2 linked regions of the Anolis sagrei genome follow. The protein of the gene in region 1 interacts with the protein of each later gene in a biochemical or structural test. Links are inferred from orthologs where the notes say so. Each region holds a gene or a part of one and is shown in the gene's direction. Other genes may lie near its edges.

Region 1 (7,459 bases):
GCCTTGAAAATATGCTTTAAAATAAACTATGTGATGTTGCCCCACCAGTAACAGAAGTGACTTTGGAAAACTAGTGTAGATTCTCCCAGATCCCTTTGACTCCCTTCCTTCCTCTCTTCCCCCTCTGAGGCCCCTTCTACACTGCCATGTAATCCATATTATCAAATCAGATAATCCACATTATCTTCTGCAAACTGGATTACTTTATTTTGCCTTATTGTAACTTCCTGGGCTTGCTTTATGTATACTGATTTGTTGGAAACTGCCTTGAGTCGCCAATTGGCTGAGAAAGATGGTATGCAAATACAGTAAATAAATAAATAAATAATAATAATAATAATAATTATTATTATTATTAGAAACACAACAAGGAGTCCACAGCAGACACTCTGCTGGCTGTTGAATTGGATCACACGTTGGACACTTCCCAAGTGTCTAGGACTGTGTGATGTATCGGCGAATAATGGGTGCAGATCCCAGTAAGGTGGCCTTTTGCAGCTGGCAGATGGTCATTTTGTCAGCGCCGATTGTGTTTAAGTGCAGGCCAAGGTCTTTAGGCACTGCACCCAGTGTGCCAATCACCACTGGGACCATCTTGACTGGCTTGTGCCAGAGTCTTTGTAGTTCGATCTTTAAATCCTCATATCGTGTCAGCTTATTATTATTATTATTATTATTACTATTACTATTATTATTATTTATGAGTCTACACTGCCATATAATTAAGTTCAAATCAGATCATCTTGATTTTATATGGCAGTGTGGAAGGGACCTCAGAAGGTTTAAATGGTTGAGTTGGGATCCGAACCCCAATCTCCAGACCAATGCTCAGACCACTAAAAGGTGAAATTATGATGGAAGCCATCATGTCTTCACAAAACATGGAGGCTGCCTTCTTCAGGCTATTTACTCCTGACTGGAGCCTCCAGTGGTGCAATGGGTTAAACCCTTGTGCTGGGAGGCCTGCTGACCAAAAGGTCGGCGGTTCGAATCCAGGGAGCAGGGTAAGTTCCCATCTGTCAGATCCAACTTCTCATGCAGGGGCATGAGAGAAGCCTCCCACAGGAAAGTAAAACATCCGGGCAACCTCTAGGCAACAACCTAGCAGACAGCCAATTCTCTCACACCAGAAACGACTTGCAGATTCTCAAGTTGCTCCTGGCACAAATAAAACCCCTCTCCATTACTATTGTCTCATTGAGGACCCAGAAACTAAACCAAATCTGCAAACACTATTCCAGATATAAACTAAAGCTAATATGGCAAGGGGAAGGAGCTTTAAGCGCTTTGTATAGCTGAATTTCGGTAAAATAACATTTCTGAAAGATAAGATGTCGAAGGAAGGAGTGAGTGTCTGCACTTCTGTGAGATTACCATTTTTTTTAAAAAAGGAGCTGCTCAAGGTTAAATTTGTTTATCTGTTTGACATCAAGAGGGCAGCTGCGCACCATGGATCAATTGATTTGCAGAGAAATAATTGTTCTCCCAGACAAAATCCAATATATAGTGTACGCATTTTTTTAAAAAAAAACTGCTTCAAGCCTCACTCAGTTCACCCTTCAGCATAGCCTTCCTTTTTATTAATTCTGAACATTTTTCCTGCCCTTCCTTCTTTCTATATATTCAAATCACATCCTATTCCCCCTGCCCCCCAACAGTCCAATCTATAATACATTTCCTGGCCCTGGTAGGGGAGGAGAAAGGAGAGGAGCTTCATGCATGCATTTAACTAATGATAATTTTAACAAACAGTATTTTGGACCACCCTGAGGGTAGATCCTGATCTTATAGGATGTTATTGTGCAAAGGATGGAGCAATGGGAGTTTGTTGTAAATAATAATAAAATAATAATAGGTTTGATTTATATCCCGCCCTCTCTCGCAGAAGGGACTCAGGGTGGCTTACAGCAAGTAACTGTTAAAACAATATCCAAAATATACTACATAGGTCAAATTAACATAGCTTAAAATAGAACTATTGCAATGACTGAAAACATATAAGAACAGAACATAACATAACAGCAACAACAAAAATAGCTGCTCTTGCTGGAATAAAAACATTACAAATATTAATATTTTACATATTATATATATATATATATATATATATATATATATATATGTGGGAGCCCCCGGTGGCGCAGTGGGTTAAACCCCTGTGCCGGCAGGACTGAAGACCGGCAGGTTGCAGGTTCGAATCCGGGGAGAGGCGGATGAGCTCCCTCTATCAGCTCCAGCTCCTCATGCGGGGACATGAGAGAAGCCTCCCACAAGGATGATAAAACATCAAAAATCATCTGGCGTCCCCTGGGCAACGTCCTTGCAGACAGCCAATTCTCTCACAACAGGATGCTCCTGCTCCTGACATGACAATATATATATTGTGTGTGTGTGTAAAATACTAGGTTATATATAATATATATTTATATAATATTTATATAGGATATATATGTAAAATGTTAGGTACATAGGATATATATATATATATATATATATATATGCACACACACACACACATATAATGTAATGTTATATATAGAATATATATATTTATATAATATTTATATAGGATATATATGTAAAATATTAGGTAGGTAAAGGTAAAGATTTTCCCCTGACATGAAGTCCAGTCGTGTCCGACTCTGGGGTGTGGTGCTCATCTCCATTTCTAAGTCGAAGAGCCGGCGTTGTCTGTAGACACCTCCAAAGTCATGCGGACAGTATGACTGCATGGAGCACCGTTACCTTCCCACCGGAGCGGTACCTATAGATCTACTCACATTTGCATGTTTTCGAACTGTTAGGTTGACAGAAGCTGGGGCTAACAGTGGAAGCTCACACTGCTACCCGGATTCGAACCTGCTTTAACCCACTGTGCCACCGGGGCTCTTTAAAATATTAGGTAGGATTTATATATATATATATATATATATATATATATATATATATAATATTTCTATAGAATAGATATGTAAAATATTACATAGGATATATATATATATATATATATATATATAATATGTGTATATATATATATAATATTTATATAGGATATATTTGTAAAATATTACATAGGATATATATATATATATATAGGAGATTTATATAGAATATATATATAATATTAGGTAGGATATATATATAATATTTATATAGGATATATATGTAAAATATTATGTAAGATATATATATGTATTTATATAATATTTATATAGGATGTATATGTAAAATATTACATAGGATATATATATCATATGTATATGTATAACATTTCTATAGGATATATATGTAAAATATTAGGTAGGATATATATAGTATATATATATATGTATTTTTCTAGGAGATTTATATAGGATATATATGTAAAATATTAGGTAGGATAAATATATATATAAATATATATATATAATATTTCTATAGGATAGATATGTAAAATATTACATAGGATATATATATAATATGTATATATATAATATTTATATAGAATATATATATATAATATTAGGTAGGGCATATATAGAATATATATATAATATTTCTATAGGATAGATATGTAAAATATTACATAGGAGATATATATATATATAGGAGATTTCTATAGGATATATATATATAATATTATGTAGGATATATATAAATATAATATTTCTATAGGATATATATGTAAATATTATGTAGGATATATATATCATATGTATTTATATAATATTTCTATAGGATGTATATGTAAAATATTACGTAGGATATATATATATATATATCATATGTATGTATTTATATAACATTTCTATAGCATATATATGTAAAATATCAGGTAGGATATATATATAGAGAGAGAGAGAGAGAGAGAGATTTATATAGGATATATGTATATATTAGGTAGGATATATATAGTATATATAGTATATATGTATATCTATAATATTAATATAGTATCTATATGTAAAATATTAGGATATATATATATGTAATATTTATATAGTATCTATATGTAAAATATTAGGTACATAGGATATATATATCTCTCTCTGTGTGAAGAAGGAAGACCAACGGGCTCCCCTTCCTCCTCTTGTTCTGCGTTGCTTCCCTCCATCTCCATTCAGCCAACCCTGGGCGAAAAAGTTTCTTTCAACTTTTCCAGCGATGGAATCCTCCTAAGGCAGGCCCCGCCCACATTCCTCCCCGCCCCTCCCCTCCTTTGATCGCCCTGCCCAATCCGGAGCCGAGTTGTGGAGACAACAGAGCGCGCCATTGGCCGGAGCAAGGGTTCGGAGACGCCGCCCCCTTCTCGGTCTTGTGAATGGAGAAGGGGAGAAAGGGGCGGGGCTAGAGAGAACGCTCAGCCATATAGGAGCCTTTTTTTCCCTCGCAGAGAGAGAGAGAGAGAGAGAGAGAAGGAGGAGGAGGAGGGAGGTCTCAGGGCGCATTCCTTCTCTGGATCTGGATCCCTGCGGAGGGGCCGAGGGAGCGATCGCCAGGCGGAGGGAGACTCCCAAGCGGCTTCCCTTGGAGCCTTTGCATTCAAAAGCGAGGAGAAGCTGCCGAGAAGTCCCGGAGGAGGAGGAGGAAGGGCGCTCTTGGGAGTGCGGGGCTTCTCCACGCGAGGAAACTTTTGGAGGTGGGTCTTCCAAGGGTGCCGAGAAGGAGAGACCGAGGGGAGACCTGCTTTGGCTTTGGAGAGGCGCCCTGGTGCTTCTCCCTCCTGGCGGGAGTCCAAACAGGCAGCGATCCGGTTTGGCTTCTTCTGGAAGGCTCCTCCTGCTGCTGAGTGGGCGATGCCTTCGGGGCCCTGAGTGGGAGAAGCAGCAGCACCATCCTCTGACAATCCTCCGGCATCCTCCTCCTCTTTGGCCTCTTCCCCATCCCCCAATGCTCAGGGCAGCAGCCATGGGCCTGTGGGGTCTGCTGGCCTTAGCTTGGCTGATGCCCCATGCCAGCCGTGGGCAGCCTTCTTCTTCTTCTTCGCAGGGCGAGAAGGGCATCTCGGTGCCGGACCACGGCTTCTGCCAGCCCATCTCCATCCCCTTGTGCACCGACATTGCCTACAACCAGACCATCCTGCCCAACCTGCTGGGCCACACCAGCCAGGAGGATGCCGGCCTGGAGGTGCACCAGTTCTACCCGCTGGTCAAGGTGCAGTGCTCCCCGGAGCTGCGCTTCTTCCTCTGCTCCATGTACGCCCCGGTCTGCACCGTCCTGGAGCAAGCCATCCCGCCCTGCCGCTCCCTCTGCGAGAGGGCCCGCCACGGCTGCGAGGCCCTCATGAACAAGTTTGGCTTCCAGTGGCCCGAGCGCCTGCGCTGTGAGAACTTCCCCGTCCACGGCGCTGGGGAGATCTGCGTGGGACAGAACACCTCCGACACCTCATCCTCCGGGGGAGGAGGGCGTGGAGCAGGCGTCGCCCCGGGGAGCCCTGCCACCGCCTCGTACCCCACAGAACACTTACCCGGACCCCCTGTTCACCCACTGCCTCCCACCACCGGTCACGCCACCTTCACCTTCTCCTGTCCCCGGCAGCTCAAGGTGCCCCCGTACCTGGGCTACCGCTTCCTAGGTGAGCGGGATTGTGGCGCCCCATGCGATCCTGACCTGCCCAACGGAGGACTCATGTACTTCAAGCAGGCCGAGGTCCGCTTTGCCCGCCTGCTCGTGGGCATCTGGTCGGTGCTTTGCTGCGCTTCCACGCTCTTCACCGTCTTGACTTACTTGGTGGACATGCGGCGCTTCAGCTACCCCGAACGGCCCATCATCTTCCTCTCTGGCTGCTACTTCATGGTGGCTGTGGCCTATGTGGCTGGCTTCCTGCTAGAGGACCGTGTGGTGTGCGTGGAGCGCTTCTCGGAGGATGGCTTCCGGACAGTGGTGCAGGGCACCAAGAAGGAGGGCTGCACCATCCTCTTCATGATCCTCTACTTCTTTGGCATGGCCAGCTCCATCTGGTGGGTCATCCTCTCACTCACCTGGTTCCTGGCGGCAGGCATGAAGTGGGGCCACGAGGCCATTGAGGCCAACTCCCAGTACTTCCACTTGGCCGCCTGGGCTGTGCCAGCCATCAAGACCATCACCATCCTGGCCATGGGGCAGGTGGATGGAGACGTCCTCAGCGGGGTGTGCTATGTGGGCCTCTACAGCGTGGACGCCCTGCGGGGCTTCGTCCTGGCCCCACTCTTCGTCTACCTCTTCATTGGCACCTCCTTCCTGCTGGCCGGCTTTGTCTCCCTCTTCCGCATCCGGACCATCATGAAGCACGACGGCACCAAGACTGAGAAGCTGGAGAAGCTGATGGTGCGTATCGGGGTCTTCAGCGTCCTCTACACCGTGCCGGCCACCATCGTGCTGGCCTGCTACTTCTACGAGCAGGCCTTCCAGGACACCTGGGAGAAGACCTGGCTCCTGCAGAACTGCAAGAGCTACGCCATCACTTGCCCTGCCGCCAACTTCGCCCCCATGAGCCCTGACTTCACAGTCTTCCTCATCAAGTATCTCATGACCATGATTGTGGGCATCACCACCGGCTTCTGGATTTGGACTGGCAAGACCCTCCAGTCTTGGCGGCGCTTCTACCACAGACTCAGCACTGGGAGCAAAGGGGAGACGGCAGTATGAGACCTAGACTTGTACTCCTATAGTTTGCCGGTCCTTTCCCACACGGCTGCTCTTCCTTCTTGTGGCGAAGGCATTGCCTGAAGGAAAGAGGGAGGGTGGCTGTGATGTGTGTGTGTTTGCGTACGTGCAAAGGGGTCCGTTGTTCCTTCATACTCTGCCTTTTCCTCTTTCCAAGGGATGGTTGGATTTCTACGTGCGGCAAACATTCCAACTTGGTCTCTCTTTCTCTTCAAATGTTTACCTTGCTAGCCAAGTTGGAGAGTGCAGAATAAGTGTCCTTCTTAAGACTTTGCTCTTCAGAACAGGTCTGTTTCTGATCCTGTGAGAATGTCTTTACTTTCCTCTACTTGTTCCCCCCACCCTGCACCCCAACCCCTTTTAGAAAAGAAAAAGAAGAAAGACAAATAACTGAAAATGCGATTCAAAGAGAAATGTGGGAATTATGCCAACGGGAAAGGAGAGGGAGGGAGAAGTGAAGGTTTACAAACAAAACAGAAATTAAGTCACATTTCTGTCTCTGGGATGGCAAACTGGACTTCCAGTAACTCATCCTCTCAAAATATAGACCCAAGAGGTGCATTGCCTCCCTCCCAGCCCTTTGTACAAGGGACAGAAATGGAGCAGCTGCTCCGAAAATTTCCCCATCAGTAGCTATCCTGGTTGGGAGGATTCTGGATATTATAGGGGAGTGGGTGGTAGTCACATATGGATGACAATTTCCAGAACCCAAAGGCAGAGATGCTCTGAAAACTCTAGTTAAAATAATTATAATTACTGTTTTGGATGGCATCTCCAACTGGTGGCCATTGGATTCTGGCGGTTTTCATCTAGTAATGATAACCTTTTTCCCAAG
Region 2 (7,195 bases), on another chromosome or scaffold:
GACATCAATGTCTCTTTAGGAAATCCAGACTATAAAACAGTGTTTCTCAACCTTCCTAATGCCACGACCCCTTAATCCAGTTCCTCATGTCGTGGTGACCCCCAACCATAACATGGGGGGATTGATTTTGTCATTTGGGAGTTGTAGTTGCTGGGATTTATATTTCATCTCCAATCAATGAGCATTCTGAATCTCACCAATGATAGAATTTGGCCAAACGTCCCACACAGAATCTCCATGCCTTAAAGGGGCTCTCTGGTGTGGGACTCCCTCCAGCCTCACACGCTCTCCCTGACCTGCACGTGCGCACCATGCTGCCATGGGCCAAGCACACCTGCTCTCCCTCCCTGCTTGGAGTCTCAGAAACAGCCCTTCCCTTGGCTGAGATGCCGGCCAATCACAGCAGAGGACGGCTATGCCTTGAAGGGACATGCTGGCACGAGCTTCCCTCCAGCCTCGCATGCTCTCCCTCGCTCGCACTGTGTGCCATGCTGCCATGTGCTGAGCATGCCTGCTCTCCCCTCCTCGCTTGGAGTCTCAGAAACAGCCCTCCCCATGGCTGAGAGGCTGGCCAATCACAGTGGAGGAAGGAGGGCTTTTGGTGGGAGAATTCGCCGAGCACGCCTGCTCTCCGCTCCCCTGTTTGGAGTCTCAGAAACAGCCCTCCCTTTGGCTGAGAAGCCGGCCAATCACAGCGGAGGATGGCTATGCCTTGAAGAGACATGCTAGCACATGCTTCCCTCCAGCCTCGCACGCTCTCCCTCACACACACTGCATGCCATGCTGCCATGTGCTGAGCACGCCTGCTCTCCCCTCCCTGCTTGGAGTCTCAGAAACAGCCCTCCCCTTGGCTGAGAGGCTGGCCAATCACAGCAGAGGAGGGCTTTCGGTGGGAGGATTTGGGGTCTGTTTCCAAAAAGGAAGAGCAGGACAGGTGGAGAGATCTTCAGCCTTCTCTGCCAAAGGGGTTCATCAGACCATCAGAAATATATGTTTTCTGATATTCCTTGGTGACCCCTTTGAAATTCCCTCTTGACCTCCCCCCCCCAGGTGTTCTGACCCCCAGTTTGAGAAACACTGCTCTAGTGTGCCACAAAACTACATATCCCAGGAGGCAGCCACAGCAGTGAAAGTCCTGTCTATACACTGCAATTGTTTGGTGCAGTGTTTCTCAACCTTCCTAATGCCAGTCCCTCATGTTGTGGTGACCTCCAACCATAGCATTGTTTTTGTTGCTACTTCATAACAGTCATTTTACTACTGTTATAAATCATAACTAAATATCGGATATGCAAGATGTATTTTCATTCACTGGACCAAACTGGGCACAAATACCCAATGCACCCACATGTAAATCCTAGTGGGGTTGGGGAGGATTTATTTTGTAATTTGGGAGTTGTAGTTGCTGGGATTTATAGTTCACCTATAATCAAAGAGCATTCCGAACTCCACCAGCGATGGGTTTGAACCTAATTTGCCACACAGAACTCCCATGACCAACGGAAAACACTGGAAGGGTTTGGTGGGTATTGACCTTGAGTATGGGAGTTGTAGTTCACCTATATCCAGAGAGCACTGTGGACTCACACAATGCTGGATCTGGACCAAACTTGGCACAAATACTCAATATGCGCAAATGTGAACACTGGTGGAGCCTGGGGAAAATAGACCTTGACTTTTGGGAGTTGTAGTTGCTGGGATTTATAGTTCATTACAATCAAAGAACATTCTGAACTCCACCTATAGAATTGGCTCAAACTTCCCACATGGATTCCAGATGACCATCAGAAAATACTGTGTTTTCTGATGGTCTTTGGCGACCCCTCTGACACCCCTTCGTGACCCCCTCAGGGGTCCCGACCCCCAGGTTAGGAAAAAACACTGGTTTAGTGCCAGAGAGAGCTGTGTTACATTTGTCACTCAACAAGGGAATTGCTTCCTTCCCTTTGGAATGTAACTGTTACTTTTCAAGTTACTTTTTAACTATGGGATTGTGTTTTGTTCTATGTAGCATCTTCTGTGTTTCTTAAATAGTAACTAAAGGATTTCATTGTAGCTTCTGTTTCCTTTCTCCCTCTCTCTTTCTCCACAGCAATTCCTTCCTTTCCTTTGCCTTCCTTTCTTCTCTCCCCCTCCTTTCCTTCCTTCCTTCTTTTCTTCCCTCCTTTCTTTTCTCCTTTGCAGCTGCTTCCTTTCCTGACTCCTTCCTTTTATCAGCATAGCACTTTCTTCCTTTTCCCCTCCTTTCTTTCTGTCCTGCTTTCTTTCCTTCTCATTTTCTTCATAGCCATTCCTTCCTTCCCTTCCTCCCTCTTTCCTTCTTCCTTCCCTCCCTTCTTCCTTCTTTCCTTCCCCTTCCTTCCTTCTCCTTTTTTCACAGCAATTCCTTCCCTCCCACCCTCCCTTTTCTTCTTCCTCCCTTCCCTTCTTCCTCCCTCCCTTCCTTATTCTCTCCCTTCTTTTTTTCTCCACAGTCCTTCCTTCCTTTCCCTCCCTCCCTTTTCCTTCCTTTCCCTTTCCTCCTTCGCTCTTTCTTCTTTTGTCCATAGTCCTTCCTTCCCTCCTTTCTTCATTGCTTTTTTCCTTCCTTCCTTTTCTCTCTCCATAGTCTGCCCTTCCTTCCTTCCTCTCTTTCCCTCCTTCCTTCCTTCCTTCTTTTTCTTCATAGCAATTCCTCCCTCCCTCCCTTCCCTTCTTCCTTCCTTCCTTACTCTCTCCCTCTCCCTTCTTCTTTTCTCCATAGTCCTTCCTTTCCCTCTCTTTCCCTTCCTTCCTTCCTTCCCCTTCCTTCCCCTTTCCTCATTCGCTCTTTCTTCTTTTCTCCATAGTCCTTCCTTCCCTCCTTTTTTTGTTGCTTTTTTCCTTCCTCCTTCCCTTCTTCATTACTTCCTTCCTCCCTCCCTTCATTCCTTCCTCTTCCTTCCCTCATTCTTCTTTGCTCCATAGTCAGTCTGTCCTTCCTTCCCTCCTTCCTTCCACTCTTCTTTTCCTCCCTTCTTCATTCTTTCGCTCCAGCCTTCTTTCCTTCCTTCTCTCCCTCGCTTCCTTCCTTGTTTCCTTCCTTCCTCCTTCCCTTCCTTCCATGCTTCCTTCCTTTCCGCCCTCCTCCCTTCTTCCTTCTACCCTTCTTTCTTTCCTTCTCTCCTGCCCTCCTTCCTTCCACCCTTCTTTTCCTCCCTTCTTCCTTCTTTCGTCCCACCCTTCTTTCCTTCCTTCCTCCTTCCCTTCCTTCCATGCTTCCTTCCTTTCCTCCCTCCTCCCTTCTTCCTTCTACCCTTCTTTCTTTCCTTCTCTCCTGCCCTCCTTCCTTCCACCCTTCTTTTCCTCCCTTCTTCCTTCTTTCGTCCCACCCTTCTTTCCTTCCTTCCTCCTTCCCTTCCTTCCATGCTTCCTTCCTTTCCTCCCTCCTCCCTTCTTCCTTCTACCCTTCTTTCTTTCCTTCTCTCCTTCCCTCCTTCCTTCCACCCTTCTTTTCCTCCCTTCTTCCTTCTTTCGTCCCACCCTTCTTTCCTTCCTTCTCTCCCTCGCTTTCTTCCTTCCTTCCTCCCTCCCTTCCTTCCATGCTTCCTTCCTTTCCTCCCTCCTCCCTTCTTGCTTCTACCCTTCTTTCTTTCCTTCTCTCCTTCCCTCCTTCCTTCCACCCTTCTTTTCCTCCCTTCTTCCTTCTTTCGTCCCACCCTTCTTTCCTTCCTTCTCTCCCTCGCTTTCTTCCTTCCTTCCTCCTTCCCTTCCTTCCATGCTTCCTTCCTTTCCTCCCTCCTCCCTTCTTCCTTCTACCTTTCTTTCTTTCTTTCTTTCTTTCTTTCTTTCTTTCTTTCTTTCTTTCTTTCTTTCCTTCCCACCCTCCCTCCCTCCCTCCCTTCCTTCCTTCCCTCCCTCCTCCCTCCCTCCCTCCCCTCTTTCCATGGTGCCCTTACCTGTCGGTGCCCTTGTTCGGCCACTAGGGGGCGGGCTTCCTCTTTTTTCCGGGCTGAGCGCTGTCATTTCCCTTCTTCCTGCTCCTCCTCCTCTTCTTCCTCCCCTTCCTCCTCCTCCTCCTCCTCCTGCTGGGCATTGTCGGCGAGGGGCTCCCAGGGAGCGGAGCCTTGGGCCTGGCTCTCCCTCCCTCCTTCCTTCCCCCGGCCCCCGGGTCCCCCCTTTTTCCTCTCCTCTCCTCTCTGCTCCCCCTCCCTTCCCTCCCTTCCCTCTTCTTCCTTCCTTTCCTTCCTTCCTTCCTTCCTTCTTCCATGGCGGAGACAAAAATCATCTACCACATCGACGAGGAGGAGACCCCTTACCTGGTGAAGCTTCCTGTCTCCCCGGAAAAAGTCACCCTGGCCGATTTCAAAAATGTCCTCAGCAACCGGCCCGTCCACAGCTACAAATTCTTCTTCAAGTCCATGGACCAGGATTTTGGGTGAGTCAGGGGGGCTGGGCAGGGAGGGAGGAGAAGGGAAGGGGCCCTTTTGGTCCTTGGCATCCCCACCTCACCCTCCCTTTGCTGATACTGAGGGACCTTGAATGGTGGGACCCTGGATGGTGGGACCTTGGATGGAGGGACCCTGGATGGTGGGACCTTAGCTGGTGGGACCCTGGATGGTGGGACCTTGAATGGAGGGACCCTGGATGGTGGGACCTTGGATGGTGGGACCCTGGATGGTGGGACCTTAGCTGGTGGGACCCTGGATGGTGGGACCTTGAATGGAGGGACCCTGGATGGTGGGACCTTGGATGGAGGGACCCTGGATGGTGGGACCTTAGCTGGTGGGACCCTGGATGGTGGGACCTTGAATGGAGGGACCCTGGATGGTGGGACCTTGGATGGTGGGACCCTGGATGGTGGGACCTTAGCTGGTGGGACCCTGGATGGTGGGACCTTGAATGGAGGGACCCTGGATGGTGGGACCTTGGATGGAGGGACCCTGGATGGTGGGACCTTAGCTGGTGGGACCCTGGATGGTGGGACCTTGAATGGAGGGACCCTGGATGGTGGGACCTTGGATGGTGGGACCCTGGATGGTGGGACCTTAGCTGGTGGGACCCTGGATGGTGGGACCTTGAATGGAGGGACCCTGGATGGTGGGACCTTGGATGGAGGGACCCTGGATGGTGGGACCTTAGCTGGTGGGACCCTGGATGGTGGGACCTTGAATGGAGGGACCCTGGATGGTGGGACCTTGGATGGAGGGACCCTGGATGGTGGGACCTTAGCTGGTGGGACCCTGGATGGTGGGACCTTGAATGGAGGGACCCTGGATGGTGGGACCTTGGATGGAGGGACCCTGGATGGTGGGACCTTAGCTGGTGGGACCCTGGATGGTGGGACCTTGAATGGAGGGACCCTGGATGGTGGGACCTTGAATGGTGGGACCCTGGATGGTGGGACCTTAGCTGGTGGGACCCTGGATGGTGGGACCTTGAATGGTGGGACCCTGGATGGTGGGACCTTGAATGGTGGGACCCTGGATGGTGGGACCTTAGCTGGTGGGACCCTGGATGGTGGGACCTTGAATGGAGGGACCCTGGATGGTGGGACCTTGGATGGCGGGACCTTGGATGGTGGGACCTTGGATGGAGGGACCCTGGATGGTGGGACCTTGGATGGCGGGACCTTGGATGGTGGGACCTTGGATGGAGATACCTTGGATGGTGGGACCTTAGATGGAGGTACCTTGGATGGAGGACCTTGGATGGTGGGACCTTGGATGGAGGGACCCAGGATGGAGGGACCTTAGATGGAGGACCTTGGATGGTGGGACCTTGGATGGTGGGACCTTGGATGGAGGGACTTTGAATGGTGGGAACTTGGATGGAGGGGCCTTGGATGAAGGGACCTTGGATGGAGGCACCTTGGATGAAGGGTCCTTGGATGGAGGGATCTTGGATGGAGGGGCCTTGGATGGTGGAACCTTGGATGGAGGTACCTTGGATGGTCTAACTTAGGTTTTGGCATCAGCTTGGATTCTATTCTGGAGGAGAAAGAGAGACCTAGAATGCAGTTCTAGGTCATTGAATTGAAAGCCAGGCCTAGGGGGACTTCCGTGTTGTTGTTATTGTTCCACGATGGGTAGAGAACAGAGCACTAGTGTGTCGCTCTTGGGTGGAGATAGGCATTATTTGCTTCTGGATGTTAAATGTTCTCAATTTGGTGTGGTTGAACTACAATTCCCAGAATCGCAAGTCAATCTCACCCCCAAACACTGTCAGTATGCACAGTTGACCATGTTGGGGGTGTGTGCTGAGTTTGGTCCATATCTCTCACAGGTTGGGTTCAGTGCTCTCTGGATAAGAGTGAACTACAGCTCCCATATCAGAGAGCAATCACCCCCAAATCCTAACAATAATCTCAGTTCACCATGTTGGGTCTGAGAGCCAAGTTTGGTCCCGATCCATCGTCAGCGGGATACAGGGCTCTCTGAATTAGGGTGAACTACAACTCCCAGATCAGACCCCGAACCCAACCCCGAACACTGCCAGTATGCAGAGTTGACCATGTTGGGTGTGTGTGCCAAGTTTGGTGCAGATTTGTCGTCGACTCGGTTTATTGCTTGCTGGATAAGGGCGAACTACAATTCCCAGATCAGAGAAGAATCATACAATTTCCAGAATAATGAGTCAATTCTCCCCTAACCAGGCCCGTGTGCACAGTTGACCATGTTGGGTATGTGTGCCAAGTTTGGTCCATATTTGTCGTCGACTCGGTTCAGTGCTTTCTGGATAAGGGCGAACTACAACTCCCAGATCAGAGAGGAATCATACAACTCCCAGAATCATGAGTCAAGCCTCCCCAAACTAGGCCTGTATGCACAGTTGGCCTTGTTGGGTGTGTGCGCCAAGTTTGGTCCAGATCTGTCACAGGTTGGGTTCAGTGCTATCTGGATAAGGGTGAACTACAACTCCCAGATCAGAGAGTGATCACCCCCAAAGCCTGACAATAATCTCCGTTCACCATCTTGGGTCTGTGAGCCAAGTTTGGTCCCGTTCCATCATCAGCTGAATACAAGGCTCCCTGGATAAGGGTGAACTACAATTCCCAGATCAGAGGGCAATCACCTCTAAACACTGCCAGTATGCACAGTTGGCCATGTTGGGTCTGTGTGCCAAGTTTTGTCCCAATTCGTTGTTGGCTGGATGCAGGGCTCTCTGGATGCAGATGAACTACCACTCCCTGTGAACTACAACTCCCAGAATCATGGGTCAGTCCTCCCCCAACCAG

What was found. The genes of interacting proteins can lie anywhere in the genome.
Region 2: the proteins of FZD7 (region 1) and DVL1 form a complex in vitro, tested with the Homo sapiens proteins (2 studies listed by BioGRID and IntAct, with this or other methods). The link is inferred for Anolis sagrei from reciprocal best matches to the Homo sapiens genes FZD7 and DVL1.

The regions. Positions count from the first base shown.
Region 1 is NC_090021.1:165,057,033-165,064,491, forward strand, and holds the start of FZD7 (frizzled-7), read left to right. Parts: upstream 1-4,375; 5' UTR 4,376-4,869; coding exon 4,870-6,606; 3' UTR 6,607-7,459. UniProt on the Homo sapiens protein: Receptor for Wnt proteins.
Region 2 is NC_090033.1:5,369,119-5,376,313, reverse strand, and holds the start of DVL1 (segment polarity protein dishevelled homolog DVL-1), read left to right. Parts: upstream 1-4,142; 5' UTR 4,143-4,226; coding exon 4,227-4,396; intron 4,397-7,195. UniProt on the Homo sapiens protein: Participates in Wnt signaling by binding to the cytoplasmic C-terminus of frizzled family members and transducing the Wnt signal to down-stream effectors. Plays a role both in canonical and non-canonical Wnt signaling.